Regions from separate parts of the Mus musculus genome. Here all the other regions are reported to be linked to region 1. Evidence: microRNA targets listed by miRTarBase, many of them from high-throughput screens and not tested one by one. Region 1 holds a microRNA gene; each other region holds the end of a gene's coding sequence.
Evidence for each region. Region 1 holds the annotated microRNA mmu-miR-743a-3p (GAAAGACACCAAGCUGAGUAGA, at 1,714-1,735, shown strand). A microRNA usually pairs through its seed, bases 2 to 8, with sites in the 3' UTR of a target mRNA and lowers its output. Matches are read on the target gene's strand: a 7mer-m8 pairs with bases 2 to 8, a 7mer-A1 pairs with bases 2 to 7 and ends in A, and an 8mer does both.

Region 1 (4,067 bases):
TGACTGACCAGGAGGCTATTCAAGATCTCTGGCAGTGGAGGAAGTCTCTTTAAGAAAAGGGTTTAAACAGTTTAAACAGTTTGGGGTATCTCTCTCAATATAAGGATACTCATAAAGTACTGTCATTGTAAATGTAAGAACATAGATGCACATGCAAGAGTATTTTCTGATTCTAAGATCGATTGTAGCTACCTTCACAGGACATTGTTTAGGTGAAGATATAGGGGGAACCTTTCATCTAATTCCTATTTCTCATAGGTGAAAATATTTAAAATTAGGGACATAGCACTATGGAAAATAAGTTTAGTTTCATTTTAATTTTTAAGTGCTTTTTAAATTAAAATATTTTATAATTCTCCCCTTTCGTTTCTTCCCTTCAGCCACTCTAATCAACTAACCCCTTTGTTCTCTCTCTCATTCATGCCCTGCTTAGTCCATATTTTGAAAGTTTTATGTATGTTATTTCAGTGCTGACCATGGAAAAGCAGTTGGTGGGCTCTTCTCTGCTGAGTACTATTTCTCCTGAAAGCTTTTTAGTGTCAATCCCTATACACATTAATGTCAGTGAGACTTAAGTGCGTGTACACATGGTCTCTCAGAGTGAGTAATGTTCAACAAGCTCCTTACTTTGTATACCCTGGACCTTATACTTCGTCTTCAAAGGCATCCTTGAGATTGCTACCATTTTCATCATTTCTCATTTAAAGCCCCACTTTTTTAGACTTAAAAGGTGCTTAAGGTTGTACACATGCCTCAAAATGGTCAGAGAGTGCAATTATAAAAGTAATATGTTTATTATTAATGGATATTTAATATCAGCAAAATGAGATAAAAAATTGGGATCACAACATTCAGAAGGAGAAATGAAAGGTGAAGGATTTTGTCATTTCCTGGACCTGTGAATAAAGAAATCTAGTGTTCACCTATCACACTAGACTACAAGAATTGATGAAGGCTCATGAAAACTAGTATATACTGTATTTATCTTCACAGCATACATCCTCAAGGTGAATTTAGACAGGATCCTCAAATATGATGGTTATTACTACATGGTAGAGAAAAAAAGATGAAGCATCAGTCATACTGATGCAAAGCATGCAACTAGTACTTAACTTTTTGTCCAGGACACTGAAATAGGAGTGGGAGAGGGCAGTATGTTGTGTGCAGTGCTGTGTTCAGACTGGTGTCCATCATGTGAAATATTTGTGAAAGACATCATGCTGAATAGAGTAAGGCCCATGATATTCTTCATTTATTATGCCTTAATTGGTCAGAGTGGTGCAGTGCAGTTACACTTGACATGAATCCCTCATTGTAATTAGTCATATGTAACCCTCAGGATCCATATTTATCCAGAGTATAATTTTAGATGTTCAATTTTTACACAATTATAACATGTAGGTTAAAGAAAAAAATACTTAGAAGAAACTAAACCCACAATCAACAAATGATACATCTTTTATCTATGTAGATTTGAGAATCAACACTGTAAATAGAGACCAGGACATAGTATACAGTGAAGAACTAGAAACTCATAGCCTACTGTAGGAATGTTTTCTAATATATACATATAAACAGAAGTGAGTTTTCATGTTGAGTGGGGCAGAATGATTTGTGTGACATGTAGATGAAGGATCTGGGGCAGAGCATTCTCATTAAAGTTCTTGTATGCAGTGCTGTATTCAGATTGGTGCCTGTCATGTTTATAAGAATGAAAGACACCAAGCTGAGTAGAGTAGGGCTTATTGTGTTCTTCATTGCAGGTGGTATTATGTGGTCAGGGTGTTTTATCTGTAGTTACACAAAATGTAACCAGTCCTAATCTGTTACCTAAGTACAATTTTGATTCCCAGTGTTAACTTTATAGCCGCATATAGATTGGAGAATTAACACAAAGTTTGGCAGTCAACCATATAGTAGGACATAGTATGTTATGTACAAGGAATATTCCCTAAGATAGGAATAAATATGATATATGTTAAGGTTTTATACTCATTAAGGCAGATTGATAAATAGGATACTATTAGGACATGATTGAGGCCCGCCCTACATGCTAAAATTCTATACAGAGCCATATTTGCTTAAACTGTTAACCAGTTCTTCTGTGTGAGTAGAATAAGTCTAACAAGCTGTCTCATTACTTTTAGCATAGTGATTTTTGTATAAGTACAAATATCCTAGCATTTCTGATTATGGTGTTCTTTGACTTTTCTGGGCCCTAGGACACCTTCAGGGTTTTTAATGGTGTTGTTGTCACCTTCATGCTTTTTGTTGTTGTTGTTATTCAAAAATTCACATAGGTCCGATAAAATACAGAAGGAAAATTCAATTTATTTATGTGCTAAAAAACATACTTTTAAGAGCCTAAAGCACAGTCTTTAGAATAATTAGATTGTATGCTTGAGGCCCTAAGTTTGGCACGTGGTCTGGCAAGAATGAAGGAAAGGGTATTAAGCTGAGAGTGATGATCAGTTATTGGTACTCAGAGTTATTCATCTTATTGGAATGCAGGAAGAAGATGTCAAATTATATATGCAAGGTGATGTATAATGAGTTTTGCATTCCCTAGGTGTGTTCAGGGTTCAGGCATCCTTCCTGATGTCATAACTTGTACAAGTGATGAATATTATTAGAGGTTATAGAGTTGATAGAGTCAGCACTTCTACATTTGTTTTGTTTCTTTTTTTCTGAAAATGTTTAAGATATATCCTGACCACAATTTCACATCCCCCATCTTCTCTGAGATCCTCCCCACCTTCACTACCAGATTTCTTTATCTTCCTTTAGAAAAATCAGCAAGATAAATGAGTGAATAAAGAATAATTTAAAATGCCCAAGAAACACATTATACACATAAAGAGAGAGAGAGAGAGAGAGAGAGAGAGAGAGAGAGAGAGAGAGAGAGAGGAGAGACAGAGAATACCTACAAAATATAATTGAGTTCATATTGTGTTGGCTGTATAATTCTTGGCATAGAGCCTACAATTAAATGTGGTTACTATACCCAGTGAGATGAAATTGAAGAAAACAATTTTTCTTTGTAAGTAGCTGTCAATTGGAAATAATTTATTAGTTAATGATGGGAATTCATATCCATTTTCCATGCTCACTCATGGGAACATGTTTGGTTTGAACTTGTTCAGGTCCTGTGTATTCTGTCACAGTCTGGATGAGTTCATATGTGCATCAGTCCTGTTGTATATAGAAGGTCTTGTTTCCTTGATGTTATCCATTACCTCTGGCTCTCATTGTCTTTCAGCTTCATCTTCAGCACAACTCCTTGATCCCCAAGGGAAGGTGTTTGATAAAGACCTCCCACTTAGGAATGATTATTTCATACCCCTTACTCTCTACACATTGTTCCAAGAAAAAGAAGCATATTTGATGATATCTGAGGAAAACACTGATCTATACATACTATAGAATATCATTAGGAGTCATTTTATTGTTATGGTCCTTTACAGAAAAACTGGTTTTCTCTAGGCTCACGGCCTTTCTAGTCTCATGTTTTTGACTGATTGTATAGAATTGGATGTGAATTCTGTCTCATGGAGTGGGCCTTAAGTCCTATTATAAAGAGGTTATGTTCTGCCACAACATTTGTACTACTTTTTCACCAGCATGCCTTGCAGGCATATCTTTGTTATTGGTCATATGGTCTGTAATTGGATTAATGATCATCTTTTTTCTTTGATAACTTGCAGCATAGATTATCTTCAGTTATCAATACTAGTTAGTAGAGGTGAATGCTGTACAGAGACAAATGCTTGATTTCTCCATATTCAGTTTGTGTAGAATAACCAAAAGACTTGGCAATAGCTTAAGTTTGAGGGTTTTCATGGTGTCCTTTTGAGCATTAGCTATCTAGCTATAAAAACAAACTAGCATCCACACATAAAAGAAAACATAACACATTTGCTTTGGAGATCTAGGTTAGTCAATTAGCATATTTTTAGTTCCATTCATTTACCTATGAAGTTCTTCATTTACGTGTGAATAATATTCCATTGTGTAAATGTACAAGTTTTATTATCCATTAATCTGTTATGGACTCCAAGGTAGTTCCA
Region 2 (4,067 bases), not on the chromosome of region 1:
TTACTGTGATTGTTAGTCTTCTCACACCACCTCCCACAAAGGATCAGATTCGTACCACTACCTTTTGGTCAAAGAAGACCCTGGTGACAAAGGAGAGCTGTTCTCAGAAAGACGAACCATACAAAATGCAAGAGAAGAGCATCCTGCAGTGCAGCGAGAATAGCGAAGTCATCAGCCATACTATTCCCAACGGGAAGTCTGAAGACAGCATTAAGGGACTGCAACCTGAAGACGTTAATCTGCTGGTGACATGCCGAGAAGAGGGCAACCCAGTGGCTTCCATGGGTCATTCAGAGGCAGAAACACCAGTAGATGCTTATTCCAATGGGCAAGCAGCTCTCATGGGTGAGAGAGAAAGAGAGAAGGAAACGGAAAATAGAAGCCGGTATTGGAAGTTCATAGACTGGTTTTGTGGCTTTAAGAGTAAAAGCCTTAGCAAGAGGAGCCTCAGAGACTTGATGGATGAGGAGGCTGTGTGTTTACAAATGTTAGAAGAGACTCCACAAGTTAAAGTGATCCTAAACATTGGACTTTTTGCTGTGTGTTCACTTGGAATTTTCATGTTTGTTTATTTCTCCTTATGAACTTAAGGATACGGTGAGACACTTAAGAGAAAATACTGGTCTTTGAAAACAAAAATGTAACTGTCGCACCTCCCAGGCATTGTTTACGCTGAAGGTTTTAGCCAAATTCTCCTTAGCAGAAAAATCATCTATTTGTAAGACTGTTTTCCCAGAGATGGGGAAAACGTAAATCTTCAACTTACATGAAACAGAGCAGAGTGAATTGTGCAAAAAATGTGGTTTGAGAGTTTTCTGTACCAAAGTAAGGAGAGACCAATTATTCTCATGTATCACTTAGGACAGAACATGTGCTAAGGTATCGTGAGTAAAGTGTCTTGTCTACATTGCCAAGGCTTGGTAGACCCTCTGCTGAAGGAAATTTGCTCATTTATAAAGGCTTTTGTCTCTAATCCCTGCTACAGTTAAAAAATGAATTTGTAGAGACTGTATGATTAGTTAGGTCCTGAAAGTCTAATGTGTTGTGTACTAATGACTTGAGGACAACTTTGTGTGTGTGGCTGGTCATTAGCACGAGTCTACGGATTCTGCTTGCCAAGAGAAAGGAAGAGCGTTTTCCTGCAGGTCCTTTTGTACTACAGCTTGTATGGAAATGTCAGCAGCCGTGGGGAGCAGACTTGGTTTCCATCTCTTCCCTCTCTTTTTTCCTACTTAAACTGAATCATACTCCACGGACTACCAAGTCTGTCTATAATTTTGCTTTTAATTAGGGGGGAAGTAAATACTGCTGATGATCCCCACATTTATTGATCAGATAAGAATATTTTAAAATATAGTTTGAGAATTATCAGCTACCAGGCAATGACTGATATTTAATGCTAAGTAGATGATGAATCATTTTTTTTTTTACCTGCTTTCTAGCTGCTTCTTTGTCATTTTACTAACATTCCTTATTTGCCAAATGCCTTCCCAAATGGGTCCTATTGTAAGATGTTCAGTATCGTGGAGGAGCGTCAACACTACTTGTGTGCCGGGGTTGGCACTTGCTTAGTTTGTGAAACGTTGTTAAGTTTTAGAGGAACAGTCTAATTCCATTCCTTATAAGTTCTCTTCCTTATTTCTGTCTTTTTTGAAGGCTTGCTGTGTATATACATCTATGCTGTTATAGTCAGTTAGCACATGAGTATGTTTCATTACGAAGTGGCTGTCAGTCATAGAACACTCGGCAGTCTTACTGTTGATGAGAGTAGATTTTCTGTAGGATGGCCAGCATGTTCCTCGGTTGCCACGAACAGGGACTTTAGGGTTTAGCAGTGTGCTTGTGGGGGATATCACACTTGTGGAGGACTCTTGATATTGACCTTAGCTTAGCTTGGTATCCAACTGCCACATTCATGGGCAGCAGATCTTTTTTTGTAGGCTGTTTCTCCTTATTGAAGATAGTGCAGGAGGAATTCGAGAAAAATCCTAGGGATGGTGTGTGTAGTCCTATGTCTTCATCACTGCCTCTTCTCCATTAGAGATGAAGAAAGCGAATTCTGTATCTACTTTCTTTAGGCCGATAACTTTTTAAATTGCATGACTTTTATTAAGCCTTGTACTTAAGGAGAATTACTACTTTTATAGATCATTTTATAGCTTTTCAATCAAACTCAGTCCTGATAACCAAAACAAAACAATACCTTTCCTTAGTTTTTTTTTTTTTTTTTTTTTTTTTTTTGTAATGCATCGACTTGTTTGCAGGCGATGGACGTCATGAGTCCAGTGCTGTTAGGGATCACAGATTGTCACACACAGTCTTCCTATCTTCTGGAGGGTTTCTGAGGGACTGAGTCTGGAAATTGAAAAAGTCATCTCTGTATGAATAGCATGCATTTCTGAAGAACTTAGAGTGCCTTGTACAATTTTTCTCTTAGTTTCTATTTTGAGATTTATAACCTGGAGCCAAGTAGATAGGGGCCATCCTTTTCTTGAGTGGAAAGTTGAGTTAGTTCTCCAAATGTGGACTCAGAGTTTGCCCATGTGTTTGGATGGATAGCTGTGCTTTGTGGCTGTCTTCTCTTAAACAATTCTTTTTGAGATAATCTTTCAGTCTTTGAGAAAGTTACAGAATATTGGGTTGTCCAAATTTGGATTAAGTTGTAGGAATTAACATTTCCTTTGAACACATTCCTATGCAAGTTAGCAGACATTGACACATTGGCCAAGTGGGCTTCCTCATCCTTGTATGTATAGCATAGTGAATAGGAGGTATTATGTGAATTTCTCCCTTTTATTTAGTGCTGAGTCCTAATAATTTGGAATGCTAGAGTCCTCTTACCCCCTTTTTGTTGACTTATAGTAAGATACATAATGTATACCGTAATGTGTCTATCTGTGTGTAAATAGCTGTAGGTCAAGTGTAGAGAGCTAATAAATAAGGAATAGCTTAGCATATGCATTAGATGTGTATTCTTACCACTGCGAACATCACTTTATTTAGTCTGAAGTTTCTAAAGCTTGTCTTCCTTACTGCTTTCCAGTAATAGATACTGTGCTTGAATACGTGTGTGATGGCAGCCTCATTTCAAGGACCAGCCTTTATAGGTCATTACAGTGGTTGTTCTTGGAATGATACCTGATTTTAGACTAGCAAAATGTTCATCCTTCACATGCATATGAGTCCTAAAAGATGGCATGGATCTGTAGACATTTACACATGTGTTTTTGTGTTTGTCCAAGCTAAGCTTTGGAATTGACCAAGATTACATTGACTAAAATAGTGATTAAAAGTAAACGTGAGGTAGGTGAGGCTGTTGGTCTACAGAGGTAGGTGAGAAGTAGTTATCCTCTGAGTGATAGCCAAGCTTCTAGATGATTGTCTTCCCAGGCAGTTCTTGCTTGGATCCAGAAAGGGCTTTTTAATTTAATTTAATTTTATTTTATTTTTAATTTTGCTTTGCGCCAGTGGCTGGGACAATGATTGATGGCTCTTCTGTGGGGTTTCTCTTTCTCTCAGAAGATTGTGTCCTGCCATCCTAAGAGTAAACAACTGGGCTGCTGTTGTTCTAGGAAGTGATTGCTTTTGTTTATAGAGAAGCATCAGGCAGTAGCAGCTGCCTTTGACTCAGATTGAGCGATCTCATCCCCAGGGCTTCCTTTCACCAGCTCGAAGGATCCACTCTTGCACAGAGAGGCTGACCTGGGTAGTCTATCCGTGACTCTTACGGGTGTCACCATAAGTGGTCAGAGATGCTTTGTGAAACTTCCCATTTAAGAACAGGTCAGTGGAGTTATGAGTTCTCTGAGTGAGGTTAAAAGCCTTCTTCAGGGTCGCTATGAATCCTTCAATTCCTACATCAGGAGTCTTTTTTATTCCGGGTGCATGGTCTTCTCATCTCCAAATACCATTTAGTGTAATCTACAGATGAGCCTTATTTTCCACCACATAAGTATGCTTTGTCATTACTCAGTAAAGAATTAGGTCTAATTTGGCTGATATACTAAGATGCCTTCCTCCCTCATGCCTCACTCCCTTGCACAGCTCCTTTTGGAGGTGTGAGTGGA
Region 3 (4,067 bases), not on the chromosome of region 1:
TGTAAGTACACTGTAGCTGTCTTCAGACACTCCAGAAGAGGGAGTCAGATCTTGTTACAGATGGTTGTGAGCCACCATGTGGTTGCTGGGATTTGAACTCCTGACCTTCAGAAGAGCAGTCGGGTGCTCTTACCCACTGAGCCATCTCTCCAGCCCGATTTTGATTTTCATAAGGAGCTTTCCAGTGAGTCCATGCCTTATCTCAAATTTTACTTGTTAAAAAGAGACACATTCCTGGGTGTGGTGCCATATGCCTTTAAGCCTAGCTCTTGAAAGGCAGAGGCAGGTGGATCTCTAAGAGTGTGAGGCCAGCCTGGTCTAAATATTAAGTTCCAGGACCACTAGGGCTACAGAGGCTCTGTTTTAAAAAGGAGGAGGGAGAAAGAAAGAAAGAAAGAAAGAAAGAGAGAGAGAGAGAGAGAGAGAGAGAGAGGAAGGAAGGAAGGAAGGAAAGAAGGAAGGAAGGAAGGAAGGAAGGAAGGAAGGAAGGGAAGGAAGGAAGAAAGAAAGAAAGAAAGAGACAGAGAGAAACAGAGATCTCTAGCTCAAAGCTTCTTTTCTACAGATATTTACGCATTCTGTCCTCCCTCTCCCCACATGTCGTCTGTCTCCTCCTCATCTCTGTATTTCCTCCCAGGAAGAAAAGATGTTGGGCATCCTGGTAGAGAACCAAGTCCGCAGTGGTGTCTCAGGCATCGTGGGCATGGAAGTGGATGGGCTGCCTTTCCATGACGTTCATGCTGAGATGATCCGGAAGCTGGTGGGTGCCACCACAGTGCACATGTGACCAGCTGTGCTGTTTGTGTGCACAGTCCCTGCCTGATGCCAGCCTTTGTCTAGGTAGGAAGGAGTTCCAGGGGCATTGCTCTACCTGCCCTTCATCCTGGCTTCTTCTGGCCACCCTATGCTCTGTTCTGGGAATCTTTCTGCCTCTCAGTTAAGAGAGAATTCTGGAACAGTTAATTGTAGAGCAGAGCCTAAGGGCAGTGGTGGTGTACACCTTTAATCCCAGCACTCAGGAGGCAAAGGCAGCTGGATTTTTGAGTTTAAGGCCAGCCTGGTCTACAGAGCGAGTTCTAGGGCAACCAAGGCATCACTGTGACCTGGGCTAATCGAGAAAGGGTAGAGAGCCCACACGTGGAGTGTTAGCTGAAACACTGGGGTTCATACTCACCACCACCAGCAAAACAGTTATATCTTTGAAATGCTTTTTTCCCCCATACAGTCATAATTTGCTGTTTGATGGGGTTCTTCCAGCCATGACATCCCACTGTCCCTCACCCCCATTCACCCCTGACATTTCTTACACACACTTTCCATCAGCTCACTCCTACACCTAGCCTGACTCTTTCCCCGTTTTGAGGGGGAAGGAAGCCATATTTACCAGTATTGCCCAAAGGTGAGTCAGACCTCTCCAGAGCTCAGGCAGATGAGCTCGCCCTGATCTTTCACATCCTCCAACCCTAAATTTCTCAACAAAACCAGAAACTGAGCCACTGACCAGGCCCCATTGCACATTTATTCCTGACATCATGGTGACATTTCATGTGGGATCTGAGCCTACTAAATGTTGTTTCATGTCTTTACACATGTGTGTCTGGTATGGTTCTTTAAGGGGCCTTCATTGTGAAAAAGGAACACATGGTATGGATTTTACACTCCAATAAAATATAAGTGTAAAGAGAAAATCTTTAGTATGAACCTCCAGTGTCTGCTATTTGCTATTCTGGCCAGGATTCACACCTGCAGGGTTCACACTTTCAGGGTCCATGCTTGTTCTGTGGAAGACACTAAAAATGGGGCCAGTCCTCCACCCAAGACCTCACAACTCAGCAAATACACCTTGGCTTGGAAGCCTCACGGCCCAGGTCTCTTTGAGTTATCATTTTTGTTCAGTACAAATTCCACACCAGGAACTCTGATAAAGAGGATATCCTGACAATTAAAAAAAAAAATAGATGACTACAATACTATTGACATCGTGGAAAAGCTGCCAACAATCTTATGATTCATGTTTCAAAGGAGATATTCATAGATTTGGCTTTTGGCATAGTAATAGCAGGATTCTACTTCAGCATTGAACAAGCTGAGGAGTAACAGTGTTACAAGTTATGCTTGCAGTGGGAAGAAATGTATGGGGAGATGGCTGAGCCATTTAAGAAAAAGGCTAAGACCCCGTTAAGTTCAGAGAAGGCAGGTTCTGAAGGCAGGTTCTCAGCTTACGCTGAGGCTAAGGTACAAAGGAGTAGAGGGGACCCCTTCCTGGGCATCCATCCCAGGGGCTGCTGGTGCTCTGCCTTCCAGGACCCGGTTTTAAAACTTTCCACTTCACATTGTGATTCCCACTCAAACCTTGTTCTAGCCTTGTCTGTTCTCAGGAGAAATGTCTGTGTTCATGTCTGTGGTGGCTACCACCTCCAGAAGTCAGTGACAAGAACAAGAGATGGCCTGCAGGGGAACTGTGGTTTACCCAGGGTGAGAGCTAGCTTGGTTCTAGCCATTGCTGGGCAAATGGAATCTGTGGGCTTTTCAGGATGCTGTGGAGAGAGATCCTAGGATATAGTACATATGACATACAGTCGGTACTCATAGGCAAGCTGGTGGCCTGGCTTACTGAGGTAGCATGCTCTGTACAAGGGTGCCAGCTCCTTATCCCTGGATGTCCTGGGCACAACTGACATTCTGTTGCTCAGCTAGGAAAGGTATCCCTCTGAGGTCACCTCTTGCTTCCCACTGTCTGCCACCCCCAAGTTGGCCCAGCCCATTGTATCTGCTACTTCCTGACCATTATACATGGCGTCTGCTGGCTTCTTCTTGAAGTTCATTGCTCTCTATGCAGGACGGAGAATGCTTGGCTTATTAGCAAATTGTATGTTCTCTACATTCATGATGTGATGTGCTTCCCGGAAGTATAGAAGCAGAGGAATGTGGTCCTTAGGGCAAGGTAGACGACATTATGTAGGTTCTGATCCAGGTGTCACATTTGTAGAAGCAGATTTTGTTGGGATTGGATGGCAGGTTAAGGGCTAAGTAGAGGTGATTTGAACTGTCAGTCAGATTGGCCAGATATTCACCAATTTCACCTTTCCTTGTCTTGTTACGCAGAAAAACTACATTTCCCAGCCTCTCTTGTAGCTGGGGCCCACGTGACCAGGGTCAGGTTAATAGAGTATGAGTAATGAGGCTATCAAACACTTCCACCCTGGGCCATAATTGCATGTGGCATTCTTTTTACACTTCTCCTACCTTTGTAGATGGACAGGGGGAATCCCATGATTATGGAACTGCTACTGGAAAATCCTGGGGTGTCACTTTATGATGGCCAGATGATGCCTGGGAAATTGGAGTTCCTTCTTAGGGTTCTTAGTCTTATTGATAAAGTAATTTAAGAATGGACTCAAATGGGAGCCTGAGGATGATAGGAGCTTAAAAGGAAACTCCATGGCAGGACATCTGTAAATCTCAGCAGGCGCCCAGAGGGGAAAATGGACAAGACAAGGGGAAAATGAGTAAGGACGAAGCCAAAAGTACCAGGAGAGAAGTGCTTAGGTTCTGGTCAGCATCTGCAAGAAAGAGAGAGGGAAAAAAAGGAGAACGGGAAAGTTGTCTCTTTCTGAGACAGGACACAGAAGGGTGGGCGGAGCCAGTTGAACCTCAGGGCTGCTCTTACAGACGGTGCTATGAGACAGGAATTATAGGAAGGATAAAGTATGGTATTTCAGTAAATGGATAATTTTGTGGTCATCTTTTTAGCAAGGGTTAAGATGGGCACATCTTCCTAGGAGAGGTCCCATCTTCCTGAACTTGGCAGCTGAATTAGCTCTTCAGGGACGAGAGAGTGGAGCGTCTCAACCATTCTTTACAGTAACAGAATTGATCCGCAGGAGGATTTTGAATTGCTGTCATCACTTTCCAAACTCTGTGTGTGTGTGTGTGTGTGTGTGTGTGTGTGTGTGTGTGTGTGTGTGTGTGCATGTTTAAGTGTGGGTACGGACGCGCAAGTATAGAGAGCAGAAATTGGCACTGAATGCCTCCCCTAATGGTTCTCTGCTTCCTTTTTTGAGCAA
Region 4 (4,067 bases), not on the chromosome of region 1:
GAACGGTGTGTATTGTGTTAGAGGAACCTCGGTGGCTGCTGGGAGCCCTTTGGTTACGGTGCATAGGCTGAGCTGCCTCTTTTTTTTTTTTTTTTTTTAAACAGGAGATTCCTCTTGGACTTTAGCAAAGTTACATGAAGCAGACTGCATAGACCTAAAGCCTTCTCCTACGTTAGCTTCAGGCAGCCCAGAGCTCATGGAAGACGCCATATCTACTGAAGCCCAGCACTTGCTTGTTTCCAATGGCCACCTCCCCAAGGCCTGTGACTCCAGCCCTGAATCTGTGCCACTGAAAGGGCAGATCACTGGGAAACGGAGGGGACCACTGCTATTGGCACCGAGAAGCTAGGCTTCATCTACCTCAGCTCTTTTAAAGCAGTCGCTACAGGAAAGAGGTAGGAGAGGCCGTGGAAAGCTTGTGTCCAGACGTCACTCCGGACAGTCCGACTTCCGTGTGGAATGTCAGTCAGTCGGCTAGAGGAGTGGCATCTGGAGCTCAGAAACGTGAGAGACTATTTGTGTACAAAAGGCAGGAAAAAGTATTTGATACCACTGTACATAAGAGTTTTCAGAGATTTCATATATATTATATATCTTTTACAGAGACTATTTTAATCCTTAGCGCATGGGTCCCGCTTTTGGTGATATTTTCACATTAGGTTGCTGTCTAATTTTGGAGAGGGTCAGGAATCGTTCTGGTGCCTTAATGCACAGCTGGAATTCAGGTAAACACATCAGCTGTTGCTGGCGGTTGGAAAGGAGGGCATCTTGGCTGTGTGGCACTTAGTGGTCAGATTCGAGTGCACTGGCCAGACCTATGCAGGCGTGGTGTTGGCAGCCTCACTGTAGAGCAGGGTGCACGGGTCTGTAGTTGAGGACGAGATTGAGAGCTGTTAATCCACCAAATGCAATGGCTCAGAACAATTAAGCACTGCCTTTCGTCTTTCTTTGTAACTCACTTGGTAAAAGCAAATGTCTTGTCTCCTTCAGTGGTTCTTTGAAGCTTAGTGAGGCGGAGGCTGCCAGTGTTGGTACCTGTGGATTTTCCAATAGTGAGGGTTAGCTCTGCCTCCAGGGCCCGCTAAGTTCTGCTGAGCAGGCCTGTCCACGCTGTTCCTTACCGGTGAGACTGGGCTTGGACTGTACAAGACTTGAGTCCTAGACCTGGGTGTATTTGCACTTTGGGGCCCTGTTGCTAGCCATCTTGTGAGTGCCAATGTATAATGCAGTAAAGACTACATGGAAACACAAACTCAGTCCTTAAAACCCCAGGAGTTGAGGGGAAGTGTTGGCACAGTGATGGCCTGTGTCACCGTGTAGTGTCATAGGCCATCACTGTGCCAGAGCAAGCACGCTGAGAAGGCTAGTCTCCATAGTTGATGGTTAATGTTACTTCCACAAAATATGTGAATTTGCTGCTTCTGAGAGGCAATGTGAAAGAGGAAGTATTACTTTTTATGTACAGAGTTATTTATTTATAGAAATTTTGGTACAGTGTACATTGAAAACATGTAAAATATTGAAGTGTCTAACAAATGGCATAAAGTGTCTTTAATAAAGGTTCATTTATAAATACTAAGTGTGTGCGGCGGTCACTGCTCTTTTATTCTGCTATTAATGTTTCTCCAAAAGGAGAATACTTAGACGAAGCAGCATAGACTACACACTGTTGCCCCAGAAAGACAGTGGCACTGCATTCCTCAGATAGCTTTTTTTTTTCCACATGGAGTTGGTTAGTCAAGCCTTATGCTCCCCAAGTATGCTGACCCTCCCACCTCCTGCTGGCATATACCATGAGGACAAAGGAGCTGCTCCAGCTGGCCTCCAGGGACGGACAGTGGTGGGCATGGGCTTTGCTTCCCTCAACATGTTCCTAACTGAAGTCACTTGGGCCCACCCACTCACTGGCGCTGCAGCTGTCTGCTGTCTGTCACACACTCCAGGGACTTTGGGGCACTTTGCTGTAAAGTAATATAATCATGTGTTTTTATAGGAGAAATACAAGGTAATTAAAAACAGCATCCTCACCAGAAAGAATGCATGCTATGCACCTGTAGCTCATGCTTTTTAAACAAAGCTATAATCTTACACAATAGGCACCCGCCCAGGGGAGAAACAGCCACACGCACGGTTCTTGCCCCCTTCCTTTTCCCAGTCTGGTCATTCACTGCAGTTGTAGCCAGTTTGCTTTCCTGGTGACTCCAACAGACAGCAGAAAGCACAGGATGCTAATAAAAAGCATTCTGAAGGGCCTGGCCTTGGCCTTACCGGGAGTATTTATTGAGAGGACTGAGACGGTGGCCCCAGTTTCACCAAGAAAAGTTTCCTGGGGCAGCCTGTGCTTTGGCCTTCATTAAGCTGCTCTCTGCAGCCATCTTCAGGGAGCCACACTGGAGCCCCAGGCACAGGAAGGACTGCAAGGACATGTAGTGTCTGCTTCATGGGCTCTTCCTGCCCACCTCTAACAGCAAGCTTCGCGCCTGGTCATAGGCGCCCAGAAAGATGAAGCCGCCCATGCTGATTGCTGCCATCCTCGGGAGGACACCTGCGAATAACCTAGGGACAGGAAATGGTCATGTTCCTGACTGCCCGCAGTTCGCTCATTCCATCACATCCATTGTGAAATCCCACAGAAATTTACAGTGTCTTTCCTTCCTTTTAGAAGGCTACTAAGTAATATTCCCCAATATGCATGAGAAACTGGAGCTTAGCCTAGCACGGCCACACTAGCTGGGAACACTCACATTAACACAGTAACCACTCTCCCAGCAGTGTGCTCGAAGAAGGGAGTCAAGGATACATCTGAGGTGAGGCTGGTAAGGGTGTGTGGCCCTGGGACATCTGAGGGGCCTCTAGGTCTCAGTCAGGGAGACAAAGCAAATTCTGAAACAGTTCTGCTCTCCTACCCTGGGCTCGGTTATATTTGTCATTGGAGTCCCACAAATGCGATTCTACAAGAAGGGGATGATGAATCTTTGTGGACTCCCTTTTTCTTGTTCAATCGAAATAAGGACGCCAGAGTCACATGACTGTGGTAAAGGTGGAGCGCCTCACAGTGTCAGTTCGAGATTCTCAGGTGTCCCATCCCCAATCCAGTCAGAACACCACAGTGGTGTCAGGAAGCCATTCTCCAGAGGCCCAGGAAATTTCAAATATCCATCGTGACATTACTGAAGTAATCTACTAGTGACCTTACCTGGCCAGATGAGACAGCATTGTGAAAACAGAGTGGCGCACAGCTGGAGAGAACAAGACAGAAGCCCCAACCCTAAAAGGTTACCATCCCCATGGTCGCTGGGCTGATGAACACAGGGCAAGTCCTAGGCTGTAAATTACTGCTTTCTACAGAGGCAGTGGGAGTGAGAGAGTGACAGACAGAAAGCCTGATCTTATTTCTACTGAAACCCTGTTACCCAGAAAAGTGCTTCTATATGCAGAAAGACAAACTTAGAAGCCAGAACTTGGGCTGCCTCGGTGGGAAAAGGCACTTGCTGTCAAGACTGATGGATAACCCAAGTTCGATCCCTGGACAAGGAAAGAACCAGTTTGATGTCTATGTGTGCACACTCGTGGAGAGGCTTTGGGTATAGGGCAAGTGTTTTATTATAACAATGCTCATGCCTTTTAAAGATGTGGGAAAGCCTTTGTGCTAAGCTAAGTGGAAGCTAATGAAGAAAGCTGACAGGAATCTCTGCTGGATACACAGCCCATGCCCTACACAGCCAGTGGAAGAGATCCGCTGCCCCTCCCACCTCTAGCAGGCAGCACAGAAGAAAGCAAGGACTTTACATAGTGGGACCCCTCTTGCTAAGCTACTTAGGGAGCTAGAGAGAATAGCTTAGTGGGTAAAGCGAGCAAGACCTGAGTTCAAATGTCTAGAAACCTCGTGAGGCTGCGCGTGGCAGCTCTGCAGTAACCCCAGTGCTCCTGTAGTGACAGGAAGTCCCGGAGGCTCTTGGGTCAGCTAGCCTGGCCCAGGAAGTGGCAAACAAGGCACCTACCATATAGAAGGCAGGCCTGGAGACACTGAGCTGGGCTTGGAGGTCAGTCTCCCTCAGCTTTGCCAC
Region 5 (4,067 bases), not on the chromosome of region 1:
GTATTTATCACTGTTTGACTCCTCTGCTCTGGAATGTTGAAGCATCCACTTAGGCTGTGCTCTTAGTTTGCATAATTTTAAGGAAGTAAATTTAAACCTGAGTTCATCATTCCTTTGCACCATGTGTAAAGTTTGATCTGTCAGTCTGTGCGACTCTTGCTTTGGACCTTTTTCTTACTACTTAGTAGAAGAAGGTGGGGAGAACTCTGGAGGTATAGAACTACCCTAGTGCATTAACAATATGCAAGTTACTTGGCTCTTCTCTGTTTAGAAAGCAAAGGGAGAGGAACAGGACTTCCCTGTGGACTTGGAAGACACGATAGCTCCTCGAGCCAAATCTGACCGGGCGAGGAAGCCAATTAAGTACCTGGAGGAGTCCGATGACGATGACGACCTCTTCTGAGGCAGAAGAGATTGTTTTAGGGATGGTTTTACGGAGCCAGGTTAGTTTTAAAGTTCTTCCTCCTCTGAATTTGATTTTTTTTTTTTTTTACTAAGACTATCCAAGTGAGTAGAGCCCGTGTGGCCTTCAGCTTTGCTCTCTGTAACATGCTGTCGAGGTGACCATCTCATGGGCAATTGTCTTCTCTGATTTGTCTGTTTTATGTGTGTTTACTTTGGTCTCTAAAATCTGCCTCAATTTTTTTGGATTTCACAGAATTGTATGCTCACTTTAGCACAATAGTATTTATCTATCATCTATTAAACTACAGTGAAAATGTTTTCAAAAGCACTTCTGCTGCCTCCTTTCCTCTTCCCACAAAATAGGAAGTAACATGGTCCTTGTTTTCAGTTTTATAGGTAGAATTCGGTCATATAGAACTGGTTAGTTCTAGTACAGATACAGTGCTCAACCTCTGACGTGATGCATTTTGTTTAAGCCATGAGAAGTTGCTCGTACCTTTTGAACATCGGAGGCTGGAGAAAGTCACCTTGACTGTGTCTTTATGACTCAGCACAAGCAGCAAGGTGAGGAAAGTTAGGTCAGTTACGTAGAGTACTGACTCTACTCGGGATGCCTTCCCAACACGAGATCCCTGGGAGGAGGCAGGACTGCTCACGGTTACATCTCCAGGATCAACCAGGAAGTGGGATCCATTGCAGATCTCCATAATTCCAACTTGTGACTGCCAAGACCTTCTGTGCTGTTGTCTCTTATTTAAGTGCTGTTATCAATGTCTTTTGTAAATATTTAATATGTCTGTCTGTTCCGCTAATTCCAACTATTTTGTACTTTAATAAATCTTCTAAACAATGCAAGCCATCCATTCCTCTTATTTTAACCCATCTGACATCATCTCCTGTAGTCAGGACTTGTTATAGCCATGGTCTGTCTGCTAAGACGGTCAGCCTTTGGCAGCTGAGGGATCCAAAAGAGAGGCACTGTGACCTAGATGGGTCCAGTGTTACTTACAATCTCACATATGGCTGCTGAGGTGTCCATGTCCTCGGGGAGGTATCAGATTAGGGATGTAGCTCCATTGGTGGAGAGCTTTCTGAGCATGCCTGAGGCCTGTGGAACTAGTACTATAAACCGACCAGGTTAGCCTAAAACTCAGAGGCCCACCAGCCTTTGGGTCCCAAGTGTTGGAATTAAAGTCATGTGCAAGGCCACCTTGGGATACATGAGACTCTTTCTCAAAAAACAAAAACAAAAAAGCATGTATCTTTAAAAAGATGTCTACTTCCATTTTGATAGCTTAGACAACTACTTGTTGGACTCAGTAAAGTTATATTGGAGCAGCCTGCTTGATCCCTCTAAATAAAATGGTGAATCCAATTCCTTTCTTAATATTACACAAAATTCAGTCCAAATACACAGTTTTGTTTTTTGTGCTGGGGATCAAGTCTGGGCCTGGTGTATAGTCTAGGTAGTGTACCAAAGCTACCACCCACCCAAGACTAAATAGTTAAATGTCAAAGATTAGAAACTGTTTCAAGCGGGCTGAGGTGGCTTCCTGGGTAAAGATGGCTGTCAGCAAAGCCTGACCCCTGAGTTGGATCTCCAGGACCCTCGTGGTGAAAGGGCAGAGCTGATGCCCACGAGCTGTCCTTTGGCTATGACACAAGCTAATGTCCTCTTTCCCTCCCCTCCAACACACACATAAGTAGATAAATAAATTTTTTACTTATTGGGGGAAGCGCTGAGGCTATGCTCAGTGGTTAAGAAGCAGCAGATTCAATTCCCTGTACCCACGTGAAGGCTCACCACCATCTAACTCCAGTTCCAGGGAATCTGTCCCCTGGCCTCCTCAGGCAATGTACACATGGGTCACAGACTTACATTCAGACAAAACACCTACACATAAAAAAATCTTAAAAACAGGGCTGGCAGGATGACTCAGCGGTTAAGAGCACTAGACTCAGAGGTTATTGGCACTGACTGCTCTTCTGAAGGTCCTGAGTTCAAATCCCAGCTACCACATGGTGGCTCACAACCATCCATAATGAGATATGACTCCCTCTTCTGGAGTGTCTGAAGATATAGCTACAGTGTACTTACATATAATAAAAATAATAAATCTTTAAAAAAAAAAATCTTTGGGCCAGAGCGAGTAGAGGTCCTTAAAAATTCAATTCCCAACAACCACATGAAGGCTCACAACCATCTGTACAGCTACAGTGTACTCACATACATAAATCTTTTTAAAAAATCTTAAAAACAGCACATGAATCTATCAGTACCACACAGCACTGCTGTACCTCTTGACATGTTAGACCTTGCTGAATGCGAGAAGTTAGTAACTTGACCATTCTTCCTCATGTTGCTAACATTCAAGGACATTTTTAAAAAGAAAAGCTACTTGATAGTTATAGACATTTAGACTCTAATTTTTAGAGAATTTGTTAGCAGTTATTGAGAGAAGAGACTCAAAGCCTGTATTAAGGGACTGAGGAAATGTCTCAGTGGGCAGAGTGCATGCTGAGTTAGGATTCCAGCCCTCCCTGGGGCCTCAGCACTGTCGGGAGAGAGAGACCTGGCTATCCAGGGGACTCACTGGCCAGCCAGTCTAGCTGCCACTGGCTCCAGGTTAGAGAGTTACTGCAGTAGAGAGTAAAAGCCAGGCCGGAGAATGATAAAACGACCCAGCATTGACTTCCGGCCTCTCCACAGGTGTATGTACCCATGGAAACACAGACACATAGAACATACACATCAAAACAAAACTAGTGATAATGAGCTGTTCAGACCTACCCAGATCTAAACCTTCTCACAATTCATTCTGGTTAAACAAGGGCTGGGTGTGGTGGTGTGTGGTCCCAGCACTTTTTTTTTAAAGATTTATTTATTTATTTATTTATTGCCAGGCATGGTGGCGCACGCCTTTGATCCCAGCACTCGGGAGGCAGAGGCAGGCGGATTTCTGAGTTCAAGGCCAGCCTGGTCTACAGAGTGAGTTCCAGGACAGCCAGAGCTATACAGAGAAACCCTGTCTCAAAAAAGCAAACAACAACAACAAAAAAAGATTTATTTATTATTATAAGTACACTGTAGCTGTCTTCAGATGCACCAGAAGGGGCATCAGATCTCATTTCATTACAGGTGGTTGTGAGCCACCATGTGGCTGCTGGGATTTGAACTTAGGGCCTTCTGAAGAGCAGTCAGTGCTCTTAGCCTCTGAGCCATCTCACCAACTCCCAATTTTTTTTTTTAAGATTTTTTAAAATTTCATTTAATGTATATGAGTATACTGTAGCTGTACAGATGGTTGTGAGCCACTATGTGGTTGCTGGGATTTGAACTCATGACCTCTGAAAGAGCAGTCAGTGCTCTTAACCACTGAGCCATTTCACCAGCCCCAGCATCTCAACAGCCCCCCAGCACTTCTTAAGAAGTACCAAGAGGCTGAATCTAGCCTGTCTCAAAAGTAAACAGATAAACAACAGAGCTAGAGGTGGCTCAGCAGTTAAGACTTTAAGTCTCGGGGGCTGGAGAGATGGAGGAAAGAACTGACTCCACAGAAATGTCCTCCGACCTCCACGTTCGCCATGGGGCGTGTATCCCTACCCCACAATAATGATTTGTAAAACTAAGCATTAGGGAGCTGGAGCGCTGGCTTAGTGGT
Region 6 (4,067 bases), not on the chromosome of region 1:
CCGGAGTGCTGGAGACTCGGAGCGTCGCGTGGACGGGAACCTGTGGAAACTCGACAGTAGCCCCGAGGCGCGGCCCACCGAGTAGTGGTGGGGTCCCGCCGCGGGCTTGTACCACGCGAGGGCTGGCGGCAGGAGCAGCGCCAGGGCAGCGGCCACCAGCGTCCTACACCGGGCCATGGAGCTGTGACAGGGGCAGGCAGAATGTAGCGACTGAAGTCTGTGAACCAGGCTTTATATTTACAATGGGGGCGGGGGACAGAGGCAGGGAGGGGGATGAGGAGGAGCGGGCGACAGAAAGGAGTGGCGCACAGACTGCAAGTGGTAAATCAGTGGGATCTCACACCCTGCGAGATGGGGCAGAGGGCCCGTTCCTCCCTCAAGTGGAACTGTCCTTTTACTGACCAGATGTATCAACTTCCAAGGGTGGAATGTGGAACTGTCTTAGGGCACTATTACTGTGATGAAACACCATGATCAAAAGTGACTTGGGGAGGAAAGGGTTTATTTGGTTTACATATCCTGAGTCACAGTCCGCTGTAGAAAGCCAAGGCAGGAACTCCAATGGGACCGAGGTGGAAGCTGATGCAGGGGCCATGGAGGGGTGCTGCTTACTCTCAGGGCTTCCTCAGCCTGCTTTTTTACCGAACCAGGATCACCAGCCCAGGGATAGCACCACTCAAAATCTGCTGGGCCCTCCCTCATCATTCGCTAATTGATTTTTCCAAGCTGGAGAGATGGCTCAACAGTTAAAAGCACTAACTGCTGTTCCAGAGGACACAGGTTGGATTCCCAGTACCATGCGCAGGTGGCTCACAGGGCAGTTCACATCTGTCTGGAACTCTAGTTCCAGGGGTCAGATGCCTTCTTCTGGCCTCTATAGGCACTGGGAGAATGCATGTATGCACAGAAACGCTTGCAGGCAAAACATCCACACACATAAAATGTAAAGACATTATAAAGAGGAAGAAAGAAAATGTCCTACAGGCCTGCCCTCAGCCTGATCTTACGGAGGCATTTTCCCAACTGAGGATCACGCCTCTCAGAGGACTCTAGTTCACATCAAGTTAACATAACATCAGCCACCACAGGGGCCTTGCTTATTCTTTGGTCCTGTCTAGGCTCACCAACAGGGTCTCACTCTATAACCTATATTGGCCTCGAACTTGGAGAAAATAACTCATCTTGCCAATGCAACAAGGTTGGAGTTGTTTTGGTGTGGTGCTCACGGTGGAAGACTCTGATGCTGGGCTTGCCCTTTCTGAGGAGAAGTGTTGCGCTCAGGCTCCAACCTTCAGAAAAGCCTGGGCAAGCAACTCTGGACCCTAGGGGCAAGTAACTGCCCTGCCCACGCTACACCAGTGGGTATGGCCTAGGAACCGTCCCCACCTGTACTTAGCAAACAGTGACTCGAATACTGGACACAGGAGGGTAACATGTAAGAGACTTGTGGTATGTGCAGGAGCCAGAACATGAATAGGACTGTGTCTGGCCACCCAGGGCAGGCACAGGTGGATTAGAGCAGAGAGAGCTTCCTGAGGTCAGTGGTGTAGGCTTCCTCCTCCAAGGCCTCCTGCTCCCACATGGAAAAGGGGCTTAGGCTGAGCACAAGCTGCAGTGCTCGGTACATTGCTGTCCTGACTTTTCTGGAGAAAGCTGGTGGAAGAACAATGGAGTAGGAAGGGGAGGAGCCAGGGGTCCCATTTGCAAGCAGCCCAAGGTTAGTTATGGCTTTCTCATCTCTAGAGAGCGGACATGCTACATGGGTGGAGTTGACCCTGAGGAAAGGCTGCTGACACCGTGAGACAACACACCAGGAAGAACCTCAGTGGTAAGTGAAGGCCATGAAGGATTCTGAGGTTAGCCCGGGAACAGAAGCACTCAGGAGCACTGCCAACTGCACAGGAAGTTGTTTCAGAGAGGATGGCCCGGAATGAAGTCCCAGAGAATGTTCCTAGAAGAGGCATGGAGGACCCTCCAAGAAAATGAGCAGACTGGAGATGGAAGGCACAAGCTGAACAAGCCAGGGTACACCATACCTGTCAGCTCAAGGACTTCCAAATCCACCAATCCTGGCTCCCCTCTGCAGCTCTTGGGGGTCCTTACCCCTGAAATGGCCCTCTTCACTCCTGATAGCTGTGCCAGTTCCAGGATTAGCATGCTAGAGATAGCCAAGTGGTATGAAATTCTAGTCTCCCAGAAGCACAAGTCTGCTTCAAATAGGAGGACTTCAGTGATACCACACACAGTGGGCAACAAGTCTCAGAGCCAACAAACATGTAGATGATCCAGATTGCTTGGAACCAGCCCCTAGTAGTCTACTTCCCCGGCTGTGGAGCACACAGGGAGTGCAGAGGTGTTACTGGGAAGAGTCAGAGAGTGAGGACAAGGTGGTAAGTTGGCCAGAACTCCTAGATGCCAGCCTAAATTGGTTTCTACCCAGGAGCTTAACACATCAGGGCTGGGCTACTGTTTTCCTGATAACTGGTAATCCCTAGCTCTAGGGAATAATAATAGTTTCCAAATGGCCTTCCTTCCCTAAGACACCAGAGGACCCACATCCTCCTACACTATATCTGCCTTCATCCAAGGAAGACACAAGAGACTGAAAAGCTTGCTGCAGTTGTCCCCGAAGATTATCTGGACATGAATGACCACTGCCTGCTTAGCTATTTCTTCCTCCAACCAAATAGCTCTGGAAGAGCAGCTGCCAGCTTTGCTCAGCTAGGGCTGGGGATGGGACGAGATCTCGGGACTCCCAGTAGACTAGGGCAGCTGATGGGCTACGTGCACCCTGCCTGTCTCCTTGACACAAACACACCCTAAGGTCTTTGCCCAGCTTGGCTCTGCCTGAATCTCTCCTCCTCCTCCTGTCTGAGCTGTGACTCAGATTACGATGAAGGTTTTGGCCATTATTTCATCAAGCTGTTTATTGGAGTTTTCATAGCAAAACATGCTGCTAGCAGCATCAGTATGTCAAGAAACCAGGCAAGCAGAGGCCTCCAGCACGGCTCGGAACTGTAATGAGTTTTACTTATTGAATAAAGTGTCAATGTGATGGGAAAACAAAACAGTCAGCAAAGCTCCTTTCAACCTTGTCCCAGCCAAACAGAAAGCATCCTTGTCCCCGGCACAGACCGAGATCTCTGGGCACCACTGTGCTGTGTGGAGGGGACTTGGGGTGCTGTATCTGGGGGAGGGGAGGGAGGGAAGGGGCTGAGCCTGGCACAGCACAGGAGAGGGAAGTGGCACGGCACGGGCTTCACTCTTTGAACTTCCACTCCTGGCGACACATGGGGCAGTGCTGCTGCACCTGCTGCGCATTCAGCCACTTGAGGATGCAGTGCATGTGGAAGCAGTGGGAGCACTGTCCCCACACGAGGGGGCAGTCATCACCAGGCACCTTACCTGCAAGAAGGAGAGACTGGCCTTAGGTAAAGAACCAGATAAAACACACAGAGCATGTGACAAGCCAGGCAGGCACCTCTGGGACATTAGTCAACAGCTCTAATCACTGGCAGAGAGCCTCTCATTCTCAGAGGAGACAAAAAGTAGGGCTGTGACCCAAATCATCCCCAGACATGGCCCACGGCATTACAGATCTGCAGTGACTCCCTCTATAGCAAGTGAAGTGTCCTCAGAGGGGAGAGGCCTGGCCCACTAGGTTCTGGTCCCTTTCTCACACCTTTCTGTGAAAAACTGACCCGTAATACCAACGACTCACAGCCTGAGTGGAGAACTCTTTGTCTTCATTACAGGCATCCTGAAACCTGGAAAGTCTCTTCCCTGGACATCAGAGATCTACTGCACTATGGATCTTGGGGACACTGGTGTTTATGGGACAGTTACTAATAGAGGACTTATCAGCACCTGTTACCTTCTTCATCTGAAACCTCAACTCCAAAGAGCACTGACTGCTCTTTCGGAAGTCTTGAGTTAAAATCCCAGCAACCACATGGTGGCTCACAACCATCCATAATGAGAAACAAAATAAAGAACCTATGGGCCGGAGTGAACATGGGGGGGCCAGAGCAAGTGGGACCTGGAGCAAGTGGGGGCCGGAGCAAGAG
Region 7 (4,067 bases), not on the chromosome of region 1:
GTATGTGTGTGTGTGTGTACTTCTTAAACGTTACATTTAGGATTAGTCATTCCTCTTTATTATAGTTCTGTTTATTATTATGTTTTCTTAAACATTCCGTATACATTCAAGTTCCTTACTAAAGTTTATATATAGTTTTAGTAAAAGTGTCAAGTTGTTAGCATGAATGATTTATTTCCTGTATTTTTAGTTTTTAAAATTTTATAGTTGCTGTATAATAATCTGTATTTTCTTAAATTACTTTTTCTATTGAAGGTTTACATGCTTTTGAGGTTTACATGAGGTAACTGGCTTTTTTTTTAAAAGATAAGCTTCCAAAATTAACAATTTGTTATTTTTTTTCTAGTTTTAAAACGTTTTATTCTTTAGAATTTTGTTAGTTCACATGCATGGTATAGTCAAACTTAACTGATGAAGGGAAGCCTTACTAAATATATTAGTAAAGTACTGGTTATAAAGAGTGCTTAACTACTTATATTAAAACTGTCACTTTTTAAACTGTGACAAATATTATGTCTGTGGCTGACTTTATGGTAATGCATATCATCTGTTGTCCCCACTTAATATAATAGAATATTTATTTATTTATAATGCTGATCACATTTGTATATACTTTTATTTTAGAAGTTCCATTGAATAAGTTATGTTTTGACTTGTAAGATATTTTTTATATTATAAAGTTTAATACATTGTAAAATGATGATTGTATATCTTGGGTTAAGAAGGTCTCTGACGATGACCCTGTCTTTCTTGCCACAGTAAATCAAGAGGAATTCATTGCTATTATGACTGGTGACATATAAAGAATCAACACCAAAATGTTACTTTTACCATCTATCTTCTCTTTGTGTGCCTGGAGTCCAGTTTAAGAAAACGAAACAAAACAAACGTAGTTCTTTTTCTGAAAGGAACAAAACCAAGCATCCTTTGTATGTATATTTCAGCATTGTTAAGTTTATGTCATCAATGTAGTAGTTGACTTCACATTTATAATACATGTTTATATAAAGTTTTAAAACATCAAATCATGTGGTGTATGTTATTTGGAGTCTTCTAAATTTAGGACTAGCTAATTGCTTTTATTTTCATGCACATGTTTTTTTTTTGACATTCATTAATAAAATACTTATTTTATTAGTATGTTAATGTTTGGTAAATTTTTTATTTCAGATTTCTGATATCTATTAACAATAGAAGATTTTTAAAAATCTTTTGTCTTTACACTTTCACTTGTATTTGAAAATAAATCAGAAAAACCAAATGACAATAGTCTGGAACATTTGTTCATCACTCAGGGTCATCAACCTTGACAGTTTGCATTTCAGTGCAGGACAGTTCAGTGTAGGTCTAGTTCCTTCCTAAGCGTACAGTCCTGCAGTTTGGAGGGACTACGCACTCTGCATATCGCCGTGTATATCTTTGCTGTGTAATGTATTGTCGAAATCTGTGTTTTGTAATGGCAAATTGAGGGTGAACATTGCTTCATTATACTTTTTGAATACAGTTGTAATCATTTAACTGCTTGGCAAAGTGAAAGATTCAAACTTTGGATTTTCATGCGCTAGAGAAAATGGAAGCCATAGAAAACACTTAAGGGTTAGGTTTATCCATGATGTATCAAGAAACAGTGGTGATAGAATCTCCAGGTGTTAGTGGGCAATTCTGCCTAACTGCAGTTTAGGGCAAAAAAAAGATTATGGGAGATAGGTCACAGAAATGGTAGTCTATCACATCTTCAGTATTCAGTTCTGATGATAGGAGCTCTCCTAAGGGAAAGTGAGCTATAGAGTGAGTGTTAATTTAAGGAACTGTTCTTTAAATTATAAAAACAAACAAGCAAGCAAAAGCAAGACAAACAATACAATTAGAGGTAGTTGAAATACTTTGAGTCTGTTAAAGTAGTTTCAAAAAGTAAAGTCAGGGCTTTGTTTTATCTGATGTATTTGTGAGAGTTGCCCCAATGAGGAACACTCAAAATATTAAGTGTAATTAGTTATTAGGTAACTATATATAAAAATCTAAGTTGCTTTTTTATTAGAACTTTAGAAATTATAAATTTTATGCTGAGAATACACAAACATTTCTCAGTATGCAGTGATTTTTAGGAATATGACCTTTTATAGAACTGAAGATCAGCAGGTTACCTTCATTTTATACTTAATTAACAATATTTTAGAATAGACTTTCTTTATTCCATAATAAAAGAAATCAGGGATACTTAATAGAATCCCTGGAGTTCGACATTTCTGATTTTAATATGCTTGTAACATTTGACCAACATACCACTGTGTTCTCTAAAAAAAGCGACCATTTTCTCTGTGTGGCATTACCATAGACGGCCTATCCCCAGGGTCTTCCGAAAGGTCCATGCAAACCTGACTGCAAGGAAACGTGCGCACTGTAGAACGTGAACTCCCGTGACCTAGCGGTGAGAGCCTACTGATAGATGGCTCTTTAGAATAAAAACCACTCAGTGTACATCAACTAAATGCTGAGTGATAAAAATATTTCCAAATCATGTTTTCTACCATTGAAAGCACCTCAGATTTAACAGCAGGGTAAAGGTTTGGGGTTGGCCTACTGAGGAGTAATCTTTTATTGTAAAATGCGCATTTTGATTATTCTCAAAGTTCATGCATTTAAAGTCTCTGCCAAACAGGTAGATGCAACCATATTTTAAGCAAGATCTATATTTCCTTTTTCATTTTCTTTGAAGATTATGTGTTCAATTAAATCTCAGTAACTGGCCCAGACGATAATTTATGGGAGATTTCTTCTCTAGCTGTCTTGCTGGGCGATAATTGTTATGAATCTAAATCCCAAGGGATAGTAGGATAATTTTCAACAGTGGCAATAAAAACAAAGTAACTCCCTCAAAACTAGTTGGGGAAAAGAGGAAAGATTTGTATTTTAAGAATTCAAATCTAATTGGCTTCACCACTGTGCCAAAAATTAAAAGAAAAAAATTAAACTAGAAAGTTAAAAGATATCATTTGGGGAAAAAAAATAAATGTAAAAATGTGAGCTACAAAAACATGAAAATATAAGCTGTTACAATTAGAGTTATTCTGTAGTTTAAATTATTGGTCCATGGGCCTAACTGCCTGTAATTCTGTAATTATTTGGCCTTGGAAAGTCTGTGATCTTTAGGGCCTCTCAGGACCTTTTAAATACACACCAGAATAGCTAGGGTATTGTCTAGAGGGGAATTATTATCATTATTTTCTTTTAACACTAAGGGTCAGACCCAGCCCCTGGTGCACACGAGGCAGGCGCTCTCCCACTCAGCTATCAATGAGGGTCTATACAGTGGGAACTGGTGGAAGACCTAGGGAAATACTAAGCCTGCTGGGACTCTGATGGCAGCAAAAGGACTGCCAAGTCATCACTGGCCCGTGGGCTCAAGTGATTTGCATCTGACCTTGGATGTCTCAGGTTCCTGGTGCACTTGAGGTAAGAAGTTTAATTTCTTTGAGTACTCATCTTTAGTAAGTTTAATGTTCATTCGTTTGGAGAAGGTACAGTCTGAGGAACCTCTAGACATGCTATCAACAGCTGGTTGAAGTAAACTTGAAATTTATGATTTGTATATCTAGCTACTTGGGTAGTTATTAAGAGCCAGAGGCTTTGTTTATTTTTCAAGTGGCATGTGCCTCTTGCTTTCTACAGTCTAATAGGGTCTGCACTTTTAAAAGAATAATTCAGATAAAAAAAAAGCAAACTTTTTATAATTTACTTTCCATTTTATAATTTATACATTTTTTTCAAAAATAAATTAGTGGAAGATGCCACAAATATATTACTAAATTAAAAACAAATTGCCAACAAGAATGAGAAGAATAAATACAGACAACTGTAGTTATTTAAGGTCAGGTAAAGGAATCTTGAGACTAACAATTAGACAATAGAGACCTACAGATTCCAGATCCAGAATCAAACTAGGATTTCAGAGGTCTCATCTCTCCTTAATGCTGCTATGTGATATCTCCAGCCCTTCTTTTGCCTATTTGCTTTGATATATGGTTAATTAACTTGTATAAGGATTTCTGCTTATAGAAAAGGGAAAA

Region 2: the mRNA of Slc5a3 is a reported target of mmu-miR-743a-3p. Seed matches in the 3' UTR shown: 7mer-m8 at 1,643-1,649.
Region 3: miRTarBase lists Dglucy as a target of mmu-miR-743a-3p. Seed matches in the 3' UTR shown: 8mer at 1,579-1,586.
Region 4: the mRNA of Lrig1 is a reported target of mmu-miR-743a-3p. Seed matches in the 3' UTR shown: 8mer at 1,547-1,554.
Region 5: the mRNA of Top2a is a reported target of mmu-miR-743a-3p. Seed matches in the 3' UTR shown: 8mer at 941-948 and 7mer-m8 at 1,177-1,183.
Region 6: miRTarBase lists Anapc11 as a target of mmu-miR-743a-3p. Seed matches in the 3' UTR shown: 8mer at 945-952.
Region 7: miRTarBase lists Cetn3 as a target of mmu-miR-743a-3p. Seed matches in the 3' UTR shown: 8mer at 1,214-1,221.

Annotation. Positions count from the first base shown.
Region 1 is chrX:66,774,428-66,778,494 of GRCm38, reverse strand. Mir743 (microRNA 743) reads left to right here and starts at 1,677; the gene lies at 1,677-1,738. It overlaps Mir743b (microRNA 743b), which reads left to right and starts at 1,163; the gene lies at 1,163-1,239. It also overlaps the pseudogene Gm14681.
Region 2 is chr16:92,078,630-92,082,696 of GRCm38, forward strand. It overlaps Slc5a3 (solute carrier family 5 (inositol transporters), member 3), which reads left to right. Exons shown (of 2, transcript NM_017391.3): 2 at 1-4,067. The coding sequence ends at 584. All of the region lies in intron 1 of Mrps6 (mitochondrial ribosomal protein S6), which reads left to right. Among named protein-coding and RNA genes, the nearest start is that of Mrps6, 22 kb to the left of the region's middle.
Region 3 is chr12:100,870,667-100,874,733 of GRCm38, forward strand. Dglucy (D-glutamate cyclase) reads left to right here. Exons shown (of 13, transcript NM_145448.5): 13 at 638-1,944. The coding sequence ends at 787. Among named protein-coding and RNA genes, the nearest start is that of Gm36572, 21 kb to the right of the region's middle.
Region 4 is chr6:94,602,041-94,606,107 of GRCm38, reverse strand. Lrig1 (leucine-rich repeats and immunoglobulin-like domains 1) reads left to right here. Exons shown (of 19, transcript NM_008377.2): 18 at 1-5; 19 at 105-1,579. The coding sequence ends at 349. It overlaps Slc25a26 (solute carrier family 25 (mitochondrial carrier, phosphate carrier), member 26), which reads right to left. Exons shown (of 10, transcript NM_026255.5): 10 at 1,453-2,556. The coding sequence ends at 2,439. Among named protein-coding and RNA genes, the nearest start is that of Mir7041, 2.3 kb to the left of the region's middle.
Region 5 is chr11:98,990,140-98,994,206 of GRCm38, reverse strand. Top2a (topoisomerase (DNA) II alpha) reads left to right here. Exons shown (of 36, transcript NM_011623.2): 35 at 272-443; 36 at 794-1,260. The coding sequence ends at 403. Among named protein-coding and RNA genes, the nearest start is that of Gjd3, 9.2 kb to the right of the region's middle.
Region 6 is chr11:120,604,619-120,608,685 of GRCm38, reverse strand. Anapc11 (anaphase promoting complex subunit 11) reads right to left here. Exons shown (of 3, transcript NM_001038230.2): 3 at 488-3,405. The coding sequence ends at 3,260. Npb (neuropeptide B) reads right to left here and starts at 209. Exons shown (of 2, transcript NM_153288.3): 1 at 1-209. The coding sequence starts at 177.
Region 7 is chr13:81,795,895-81,799,961 of GRCm38, forward strand. It overlaps Cetn3 (centrin 3), which reads left to right. Exons shown (of 5, transcript NM_007684.4): 5 at 760-1,261. The coding sequence ends at 803. Among named protein-coding and RNA genes, the nearest start is that of Cetn3, 15 kb to the left of the region's middle.